Linked DNA regions of Nothobranchius furzeri. The protein of the gene in region 1 purifies or fractionates together with the protein of each later gene. This does not show direct contact. Links are inferred from orthologs where the notes say so. Each region holds a gene or a part of one and is shown in the gene's direction. Other genes may lie near its edges. The genes, in order: ints6, serine/threonine-protein phosphatase 2A catalytic subunit beta isoform and ints11.

Evidence for each region.
Region 2: the proteins of ints6 (region 1) and serine/threonine-protein phosphatase 2A catalytic subunit beta isoform purify together in Homo sapiens (affinity purification with mass spectrometry; 3 studies listed by BioGRID and IntAct, with this or other methods). This does not show direct contact. The link is inferred for Nothobranchius furzeri from reciprocal best matches to the Homo sapiens genes INTS6 and PPP2CB.
Region 3: the proteins of ints6 (region 1) and ints11 purify together in Homo sapiens (affinity purification with mass spectrometry; 3 studies listed by BioGRID, with this or other methods). This does not show direct contact. The link is inferred for Nothobranchius furzeri from reciprocal best matches to the Homo sapiens genes INTS6 and INTS11.

What each region holds. Positions count from the first base shown.
Region 1 is NC_091754.1:31,095,579-31,099,335, forward strand, and holds the start of ints6 (integrator complex subunit 6), read left to right. Parts: upstream 1-1,567; 5' UTR 1,568-1,794; coding exon 1,795-1,905; intron 1,906-2,043; coding exon 2,044-2,121; intron 2,122-2,609; coding exon 2,610-2,759; intron 2,760-3,757. UniProt on the Homo sapiens protein: Component of the integrator complex, a multiprotein complex that terminates RNA polymerase II (Pol II) transcription in the promoter-proximal region of genes.
Region 2 is NC_091750.1:36,858,911-36,861,896, forward strand, and holds part of serine/threonine-protein phosphatase 2A catalytic subunit beta isoform, read left to right. Parts: intron 1-317; coding exon 318-491; intron 492-610; coding exon 611-700; intron 701-1,526; coding exon 1,527-1,688; intron 1,689-2,036; coding exon 2,037-2,155; intron 2,156-2,986.
Region 3 is NC_091755.1:39,112,287-39,115,943, forward strand, and holds part of ints11 (integrator complex subunit 11), read left to right. Parts: intron 1-1,842; coding exon 1,843-2,005; intron 2,006-2,102; coding exon 2,103-2,213; intron 2,214-3,657.

The sequences.
Region 1 (3,757 bases):
ACATCAACACAATTATGGCCCATACACAATGTCAAATTAGATTAAAACCTGTCTGCAGTCACGTAAAAACAATGAAACAAGTAACAAGCAACAAGTACTTCCGGTCATGTTCGGTTGAGAATTTCGCAAAAAAGGATCAGTAATTTGTGCGTGCGTGTGATAACATTTTGCAAACGCTTGTATATTTTTCACAATGTTATTGCAAAATCTGGAAATCTAAGCAATATTACCCTCACTTTTTCCATTTCCAAACCACTTCCTCCTTAGTTGCAGGTTGGTGTTGTCTATCTCCAGCAGTCATTAGCTGTGGGGGAAACTCTGGTCTCAGTCCATCTTTTTCTACATCCATCACAAGAACACACAGGTAAACCACCAGTCCAACACACCCAGGAATACATTTTCAAATGCTAATCAACTAACATGCATATTTTAGGCCTACAGAAGGAAATAGTATTACCTGAAAGGCCACCGCCAGGATTTGAACCTACCTTCATGCTGTGAGGCAGCAGTGCTACCAAAATCGCTACCATGCAGACTGAAGAAAGAATTTTTGATGTCCTACCACAGGATTACTTTTATTTTGAAAAACGTGTCAGTAACAAACCGGATGAACTATGTGCAGTGCGATAGGACGACAAAAATAAGATAGACCATCCTTCCCTCTGCGATCACAGCCACTGGTTGGTTTCGTCTTGTTTTTGCGGAAGTGTTGATGTTTTTGATCGAGCTGCACTATCTCACTCAGTGTCATGTGGCATGAAAAGTGAACCATAAACAGGATGGTGACACTAATATATCTAGTAGTCTACAGATAATTGTTTATACATATAATCAACTTAAACAGCTCAAAAGTACACGCACAATGACTTATTTGGTGTCTTGATTTTTATATGTTAGTTCAAAAACTGTAAAAATAACCCTTCTGGTCGTTTTGTTAGTTAAAATCTTTTATATGATCATCACACAGTGTCATGATTTCAGTGTGTTGTTTTCCTTTTCTCTAAACAAATGGCTACCTTCCTTAAGTTATAATCTTACAACATCCATCTCAGCCTGTACTTTTTATTTTGTCTTTATGGGTTTCCATTCACACTGGCCCACGCCCGTGCATATATGAGGAAAATGTTGATTATGCAATCACTCCGCAGGGCAAAACACAAGGCTGTTGATAACTGGTGCTAAAGAAAAACAGCTGGGGTGTTCCAAAAAGGCTTTTCCTACCACATGTGTCGCGTTACTAAACACAAAATGTATGTGAATAATATTTTTCCCTGCATTCCTGTCATTTGGTTAAGCAAGCATGCGCACTAGAGAACTAGCTTTGGCCTTATTTGGATATGTTAATAAGTGGCTTCCTTCAACCAATCAAAAGCTGGGTTGATTGCACGTGACAGAAAAAGAGCGCTTAGGAGGCGGGGTCAGGTGCGGGGCTTCATTTAAAAGCAACGGAGAAGACACAACGCATTCAGTGTAGGGAGAAGCAGGGAGTCACTATGAGGGGGAACTTTGTTACTATGAAACTTAGGAATATTTACAATATATTGTAAAAATTATCAAAATCCATCGTAAATCATTAACCTGCCCCAAGGTTTCGAGGCTTTTAGCTTAGTTTTCCCGGAATGGGCTTCTATACTCACTATTCTTACACTTTTTTGAAAGAATGTGTGAGACAGTTAGCCAGCTAGCTAGCTAGCTGAGGGGTGAGACAGGCGGCAGGAGAACAAAAGATTTTTTTTGCGTTTTGGCCGGTTGTACTGACACCAAGTCCATGCAGAACGTGTCATTACCATCACAATGCCCGTTTTACTTTTTCTGATAGACACGTCCGCTTCAATGAACCAGCGCACCCATCTGGGCACTACCTATCTGGACATAGCAAAAGGCGCTGTTGAGACTTTTATGAAGGTACTGTGACCACGGGACACATTCATGTTGGGAGATCCCAAACGGGATTCTAGTTCGGATTATCGTTGTGCTGTTGCAAGTTCGCCTTGTCAAGCCGAGATCTCCCAGTAACCGTAAATCATTCTCTATTTTCCACAGCTCAGAGGGAGAGATCCGGCGAGCCGAGGGGACCGGTACATGCTGGTAAATTTTGAAGATGCTCCGTTCGGGATCAAGGTAGAATCTGCTTTCGGGTCATGTCCAGCTTTACATTGCGCAGATTGACTGTCCTCCATCTCCCCGCCGCCTTGTGATCAATTGTTGTAGAGAAAATCTCCAGGAGGAGCTTTCATACCCCTTTTAAAACATGGCCGACATTTTATTTCAGTGCGAGCAGCAAGGAACTCTGGGTGTTATTTATACAGAGAGGTGATATGAGAGAGGGAGGGAGGTGGAGGAGGAGGGGTGACGGACAACTAGACTACTTTAGCAGAGAGAAAATTGCCGCTTTTGTCCCGAACACGCTGCGACCGTGCCACATCGTCATGTGTGATCCGAGCTGGTGTCACACCAGCAGCAGAGAGGATCCAGGCTGCGGCGCTGATCTTCATCCCAGCTAAATATCATCATACTTCCACATTAAAGCTGGAAATAAGTTATTTAAAGTAGTTTAGTGACCAGAACAGTAGCTTTTATGAATCACGTGCTTTGTTTTGTCCATAAAGGCTGGGTGGAAGGAGAGCCACGCCACATTCATGACAGAGCTGAGGAACCTCCAAGCTACTGGACTCACCACTGTTGGACAGTCCCTGAGGACATCTTTTGATTTACTCAATCTCAATAGATTAGTGACTGGCATAGACAACTATGGACAGGTATGTAGTCCCCTGGAAATGTACTAAACGCACCCACAACAACCCCACTCCCCTGCCCCAGTCCTACAAGCATCTACTACCCAAACACACCCCTGCAGTCACACACAAACATAACTACCAAAGAAGCAGGGACCGATTATAAGTCCAGTGTTTCATGCTATAATTTTAAAATGTCTTTTTAGTCATAAAACTTAGATGCAGGTTGCAAAGAGGCTAATCTCATATGCACCAGATTATATTTCTGAAACAAAATCTAGCATAAGCCCATCTACTTCAGGACCACGGGGCCCCGGAAGAACGAGAAAATGAGTACAAGTCAATGAGGCTAAAAATGCTATTTTCTGATCCCGTATGGTTTTCACAAGACATCCGTGAAATTTAACATTTTGATGCCAAGAAAGCTCTTATTTTCAAACGAGGGCGAAAGTTATTTTAGGTCTTGTGTGAAACGTTCAGGACTACAAGTACGCATTACGAATTGACATCGAACCAGACATGAACAGAAAAAATGGCTGTACGTTCTGCGAATGTCAAATCCTTCTTTCAGGAGGAAAGAACTACTATAAATCTGGCCATGTGAGAAGTAGCAGCTACGCTAGGGGAGAGGATATTCTGTGATGACATCATATACGATATGCGGTGTACTGACGTCTGATCTGTAGTCCTAGTATTTACGATAAATCTCAAAACACGTGACAGGCGTGATCCAAACACATCAATACTTTTCATTGAAATACAACATATGTGCGATCCAGGGCGTAAAGCAAAGCGGATTAGAAAATAGCTCTTTAAGTCCCGTGGACTTGCGTTCTTTTTTTGTTTTGTTCTTCCGGGAACCCATGAGCCGACCGGAAAACTTAGACTCCATGTTGTTCTAAAAGTTAATATCTTCTGGCACATGGATGCTGAACTGCTATCAATTTGGAGAATTATTAGACTGAATCCAATTTAAAATAGCAGAAAACAAGTTTCATAATGAGTGTTAAATGCTTTAACAC
Region 2 (2,986 bases), on another chromosome or scaffold:
AAATAACAGTTCAGCGACGGAAACCATTACTGGATTTTTATTAAAACCTGTGGTGTTTGGATCAGCTGATTCTGGGATGTCGGGATTGGCTGTTAGCAGGACGAGTCGAGTCATGTCAACCTGAATGGAGCCAATGTTCTGGGTTTTAGCTCCAGTTTAAGGCTCTCAGCTTGTGGATTGAGGGATCAAAACAGTAATGCCTTTAGTTTCTGGTGGAGAAGGTTACAGGAGGTCATCTGTTCCAGCGTCAAACATTTCATGAGGACAAGCATTTGGCTCCTTCACAATAAAAGCGGGGTGCTTGTCTCTGTGTTCAGGTTCGTTTCCCGGAGCGAATCACCATCCTGCGAGGAAACCACGAGTCTCGACAGATCACCCAGGTGTACGGATTCTACGATGAGTGCCTGAGGAAATACGGCAACGCCAACGTGTGGAAGTACTTCACAGACCTGTTTGACTACCTGCCACTCACCGCGCTGGTGGATGGACAGGTGGGACGGCCAATGGGGGCGTTGTCTGTATCTAACTCTTTTCACACGTGTTGAATGGAGTTAATGAACGTAAGAAATGAGAGTGGAGGGAAATTCAAACCTGTTTGTTTTTATTTCAGATCTTCTGTCTCCACGGAGGCTTGTCTCCTTCCATAGACACTCTGGATCACATACGAGCTCTAGATCGCTTGCAAGAAGTCCCACACGAGGTAGGAACACACGAACGCACCTTTCTAGTCTCACAAACGCAGAACCCCACCATGTTCAGGGGCCTGAAGTCCGAAGCACAGAGGCCACGTGTGCTTCAGATGGGAGTCTGACCTAAAACCACATGAACCTGAGTCGCTTAAAGGTGCACAGAAAGGATAGCCCACGGTCAAAATAAGACTCAAGGTTTCACCACAGCAGGGTATCCGCGGGTCCTTAAAAAGTCTTAAATTTGCTTTTCTAAATTTAAGGCCTTAAAAATCCTTAAAAATGACAAATAATCCTTAAATACAGTTTTCAAAGGTCTTAAATTACCAAAGACCCAATGAACAAGAATTTCTAGTTAGTCTTCAGCATTTTTTGTGTACGATGTTGGCGTAAGCGGAACCGTACACATGCAGTTGGTTGTGAAAGGGGGCTATTTTTAGATGAGCACATTAGCTGGTTAAGCTAGTGGGAGCTTGCGCCATGGGGAAGGGCAAGTTTAATGGTAACTGGATGGCTAATCCCACGATCGTGGCGTGGTTAGCACCAGTTCCAGGCAATAGCTGGAAATTATAGCTTAAATTTAATTTTAATAAATAGCTTAAATTTGGTCAAATTGGCCTTAAAAAGTCTTAAATTTGGCTCCCTTAAACCTGCAGATACCCTGCACAGTCTGACGTTTGTTAACTCACTCTTGTTTTTACACAACACAACATCGGTCTAGTCCATCTGAAAGCAGGAGGAGGTTTGGAGACGAAGGCTCTAAAAACCGACTCCGGAGATCTTCTCCATCTCAGTCAAAGACCTTTGTTCAGCGCTGACTTCCTGTCTGCTCTCCCTCAGGGTCCCATGTGTGACCTGCTGTGGTCCGACCCAGATGATCGCGGTGGGTGGGGCATCTCCCCCCGAGGTGCCGGCTACACCTTCGGACAGGACATCTCTGAAACCTTCAACCACGCCAACGGCCTCACGCTGGTGTCCCGCGCCCATCAGCTGGTCATGGAGGTAAAACTCGTGCAACAGAAGGACATGATGTCCACTGCGTGTCCTTCAGTCAGACTGGACAACTGATGTTTGTGTTTTAGTTGCAGATGAACCGGTTTTATTATAAATATGTTCAAATGTATCATGATGGATTTATTTTTTTTCAGATCCGCCAGATTTGAAGCTTTAATCTTTTTAAATGTTCTGACTTTTAAGTTCTTTTACTCTGAAATCAGGGGCACGTTTATTTATAATTAATGAGCTCTGAGAAACAAGCCTCAACTTCCTGTTTCCTGTCTGACACTGTAGGTCACATGACCCATCAGTCAGCCGGGGCCGGTTTTAACTGGACTGGTTTCTGTTTCTTAGGGCTACAACTGGGGTCATGACAAGAATGTGGTGACCATCTTTAGTGCTCCGAACTACTGCTATCGCTGTGGAAACCAGGCGGCCATCATGGAACTGGACGACACTCTGAAATACTCTTTGTAAGTAAAACAAAAGGCTTTCCTGCAGGTTTAAAGGCCGCGAGGGCCGAGAGGCGCTGCTGGAATGAACGTGATTTATTCCGACGGGGTCGGGGTAAACTTTAGCCGAGTGAAGTGGTTTGTTCTTCAGTCAGATTCTGTAAACGGCAGCTAGACTTTAACGTGTAAAAGCTGAGATAAATGACACAAAAGGCACCACTGAGGTAAGTGTTTCAGGTTCTTTCATGTTTTTAGATCACATCTGATTTCAGGAGTAAATGCTGAGTGAAGGAAAACGTACTCCTGTTTTAACCGGCAGTAGTGATGGAATCTGTGTTTCACAGGATGTACTTGAAGGCACCACAGCGGTTTCTGAATAGAAAAAATCTGTACAGACTTTTAGTTTGTTGGGAATGTTTAAACTAGGGCTGCACGATATTGGGAAAACCTGCGGTATTCGATAACAGTGATTAATACTGCGATGGCGATATTACAAATAAATAAATAAATAAATAAATAAAAACTTAGCTCAGGAACAAAAATGATCAAAAACAAAGAAATTAAAAATTCATGAAAATGAGAAAAGCAAAATATGTGAGGAAAGGGAAAAAGAAAATTAACAAGAAAAGACAATCAGTGGACCCCATCAACATATAAATATTGGACAATGGGTTTCCATAGGCTCCAATATCACGTTTTTGAGGACAAATGGGAGGTGGCCACCACCGCCATTTTGACCGTGTCACAGGTTTCGTCAAGCCCAGACAATTCCACAAAAGGGAAGAGAGGAGGAGCTGAGGGTGGGGCTGTAAGGCTGGGATCAACTGACGACACCCGGTCGAACTAGCTACA
Region 3 (3,657 bases), on another chromosome or scaffold:
TCTGCCATGCTTTGGAGGTGCTATTGCTAATGGTTAGCTTCTTCCATCCAAGGCTTGCTCTTCTTTCTTGACGCACAATCGTCACAGCCTTCCATAGTCACAAGCCAAGGTGGGCGGGGCCATGAACACTCATTTTCCTAGTGACTTGGAAGAGACTGGCTTTGCCTGACTTGCTTTATTTCCTTTCTGCAGCCAATTTTTCACGTTCAGCATGCATGTGCAACTCGGTCATTGATCATATTTCAAAAAGAACAAATACAGCATTATGTTCTAAAAATAACCTGCAATAAGCAAAATCTGCGATGTGGTCAGTTACATTTTTGTAGCTGTAATGGAATAGAGTGACGAAACTATCTAGAGTTGTATTTTAATACACTGTAAGTAGATCACTTTTTATAAACAGAAGAATAGGCTGTTTTTATCATCAGGGAGTTTAATTAAACACTCTGTATTGACTTTGAGACAAGGAAAGAGAGAGAGATGGGATCGTTTGAGAATCTTTAATTTCTTGATTATAAATTCTAAACAATCTACCAGGACTAACTCTGTGATGGATGAAAATGGATTTGGATGTTGTGTTGGTGTGTGTGTGTGTGTGTGTGTGGTTGGTTCAGACTCCTTAGGCTGACGTCATTGAATCTGGTAGTCTTTGTTATGACTAGATATCACGAGGCTTATAAAGTGATGACATGAGCCGCTATTTTGCCGTGTACGTACCCAGTGGGGGCCTCCCAGGTAGATCAGGAAATGCCAGGTCTGGAGACCTCGGATGTGCGCTGGAGCTGTCGGCGCAGCGGTCGCAGCGTTTCAAAGCCCGTCTGGAGGGTCGACCCCGGTACCAATCGATGGCGTCAGCAGGTGCTCTTATTTTGAAAGGATGTCGTCTGGTTGTTAAACGACGAAAATCTCCAGCTTCACAGTTCTTAGTTTAAAGAAGAAAACACATCTGGCCAGTCTGTGCTTTCCTTTAGGATGACGGTGAATAGAACTGAAGTCAAAATGGAACTGCCTTAAAAATGGCGTTGCCTTGTTTTATATCTCTGAATTGTTGAAAGTTTTAGTAAAGCGGATTGGATACTTTAAGTCAACAAGCCAGATTCTCCTGCGGCAGCCGAAAGCTCTGATTGGTTGGAACAATGTGTCATGCGTTTCTATGGAGATGAGGATCAGTCTGTCTGTGCAATAGTCCTGTTTTCATTAAACATAAATCATGACATATTTATTTCACAGATCATTCACTTGATTGTTATTGATCAACATCTGTTTCGATTAGCTTTAATCACAAATTAAGTACTTTGATTATTGAAAAGCGTTCTTCTTCTCCTTCGGACTCTTCTCCTGGAATGTAAACAGTCTGAGGAACACCCGACCTTGGCGTTTTCAACACGGGTGTAACTGTGCACAGGGGGCAGCTGTGTGGAGCTGAAAATAATGAACTTCATAACCTTACATAGCATACATGGTTATATTGGGGTCACATACACGAAAACGCAGCAAATGTCCGTTCCCAGCACGTGTGCAAGGGTGAACTGTTTTATTTGCACACACTCGCTTCATCGTTTCTGTTTCATGTCGTTACGTCGTAGAGACTCATGTGTCTCCTCCCCTTGTATATAAAAACACAGCAGCCCTGAATACCAATGCGCTCCAGCCGGGGCGCAGTGCTCCTCTCTTCTGCAGACGTGCTCGTCCCAGAGCGCCGCATCAAGATTTTAAGGCTGTAAAACCCCCTCACTACACACTTTATACCCTTTTCTCAGACAGGCTTTCAACATTTTCACACTTTTCTCTCTTGTTTAAATGTGTAAAAACCCTCTGAATGTGAATGTTCTGTGTTAACAGCTGGACGTGAAGCTGCAGGTAGAGTACATGTCCTTCAGTGCACACGCAGACGCCAAGGGCATCATGCAGCTCATCCGCATGGCGGAGCCTCGGAACATGCTGCTCGTGCACGGGGAGGCCGCCAAGATGGAGTTTCTTAAGGGCAAGATTGAGCAGGAGTTCAGTGAGTGTAGTCCTGACCTTCAGCGACCTGGGATTTTTGGTTTTTATGTATATCAACAGAGAGGAGTTTCCAGCCTGGTTAATACGTCTGATTTTAGGCATAGACTGTTACATGCCGGCCAATGGAGAGACAGCGATGGTGACGACCAACCCCAGCGTTCCTGTGGACATGTCGCTCAACCTACTGAAGAGGGAGATGGCTCTCGGAGGTACGTTGCCTGCCTTGTGGTCGGCAGTGGTTTTAGTTTAGCCTGCTAACAAAGTTTCTCTTCACATTTCTTCTAGTCTGACCTGACATTTGAATTTCCTTCGCTTTGATTGAAGTAGTTTTTTTTTAAAACCTAACACCTCCGTACAGTACGGCGGCCCAGATTAGTTGTCACGATAAGATCAACCGACTAAAATCCAGACTGTTGCATGTGGCCCTTCTGATGTGCTTCAGGCATGCAAGAGCTGCTGTAGTATTATTTTATTAGGCAAAGCAAGGCAGCTTTGCTTATAAAGCACACACACACACACATATATATATATATATATATCGTGGGGCGACGGTGGCACAGGAGTTAAGTGCTCGCCCCGTAATCGGAGGGTTGCAGGTTCAAGTCCCGCTCAGTCTGTTGCTGTCGTTGTGTCCTTGGGCAAGACACTTAACCCACGTTGCCTGCTGGTGGTGGTCGGAGGGACCGGTGGCGCCAGTGCTCGGCAGCCTCTCCTCTTGTCAGTGCGCCCCAGGGCAGCTGTGGCTACATCGTAGCTCATCCCCACCAGCGTGTGAATGTGTGTGTGAATGGGTGAATGACTGATTGTGTTGTAAAGCGCCTTGGGGGGTTCCAGGACTCTAGAAGGCGCTATATCAAATACAGGCCATTTACCATTATATATATATATATATATATATATATATATATATATATATATATATATATATATATATATACGAACCCTGAGGAGGAGTTGTTGGTTTTTTGGTCTCGCTCTCCCTGTGTTCGGCGTGGTTGCGGCCAACAGCAACTCTTTTGGAGTCATTAAAAAGACTAAAGCATAAGTGAGCGCCTCCGACTGTTATTGTGTCCGTGGGGACGCTACAATATTTATATATAATTTTGTTTTTAATTTATTTATTTACAAAAGTGTTTATTTATTTAATTATTTATTTATTTATATGCATATAAGTTTTAACGATCATTATTTCACAGTAAAACAACAACAACCGCGCAGATCTTGGGTCAGTCATTCATGCTTTCATTACTTCACGTCTGGATTACGCGAATTCTGTTCTGATTGGGATTAATGCCTCAGCCCTAAGCAGACTGCAGAAGGTTCAAAATGCAGCGGCGAGATTTTTAACCAACACCGACAGACGCATGCACATCACACCCGTCCTTGCAGATTTACACTGGCTCCCAGTCAAATTTAGGATTAACTTCAAGGTCTTGTTATATGTTTACAAGGCTCTACTGCCCATCCCCATCCTTTCTGACGGACCTGCTGACCCCGTATGTTCCCACCCGTGCCCTTCGATCAGCAGATCATCTGCTGCTTGTTGTTCCAAAGGTTCGGTACAAATCACGGGGGGAGCGTGCCTTCTCTTACGCAGCCCCAAAACTCTGGAACTCTCTGCCCCTCCGTGTGCGTCTGGCTCCCTCTGTCAGC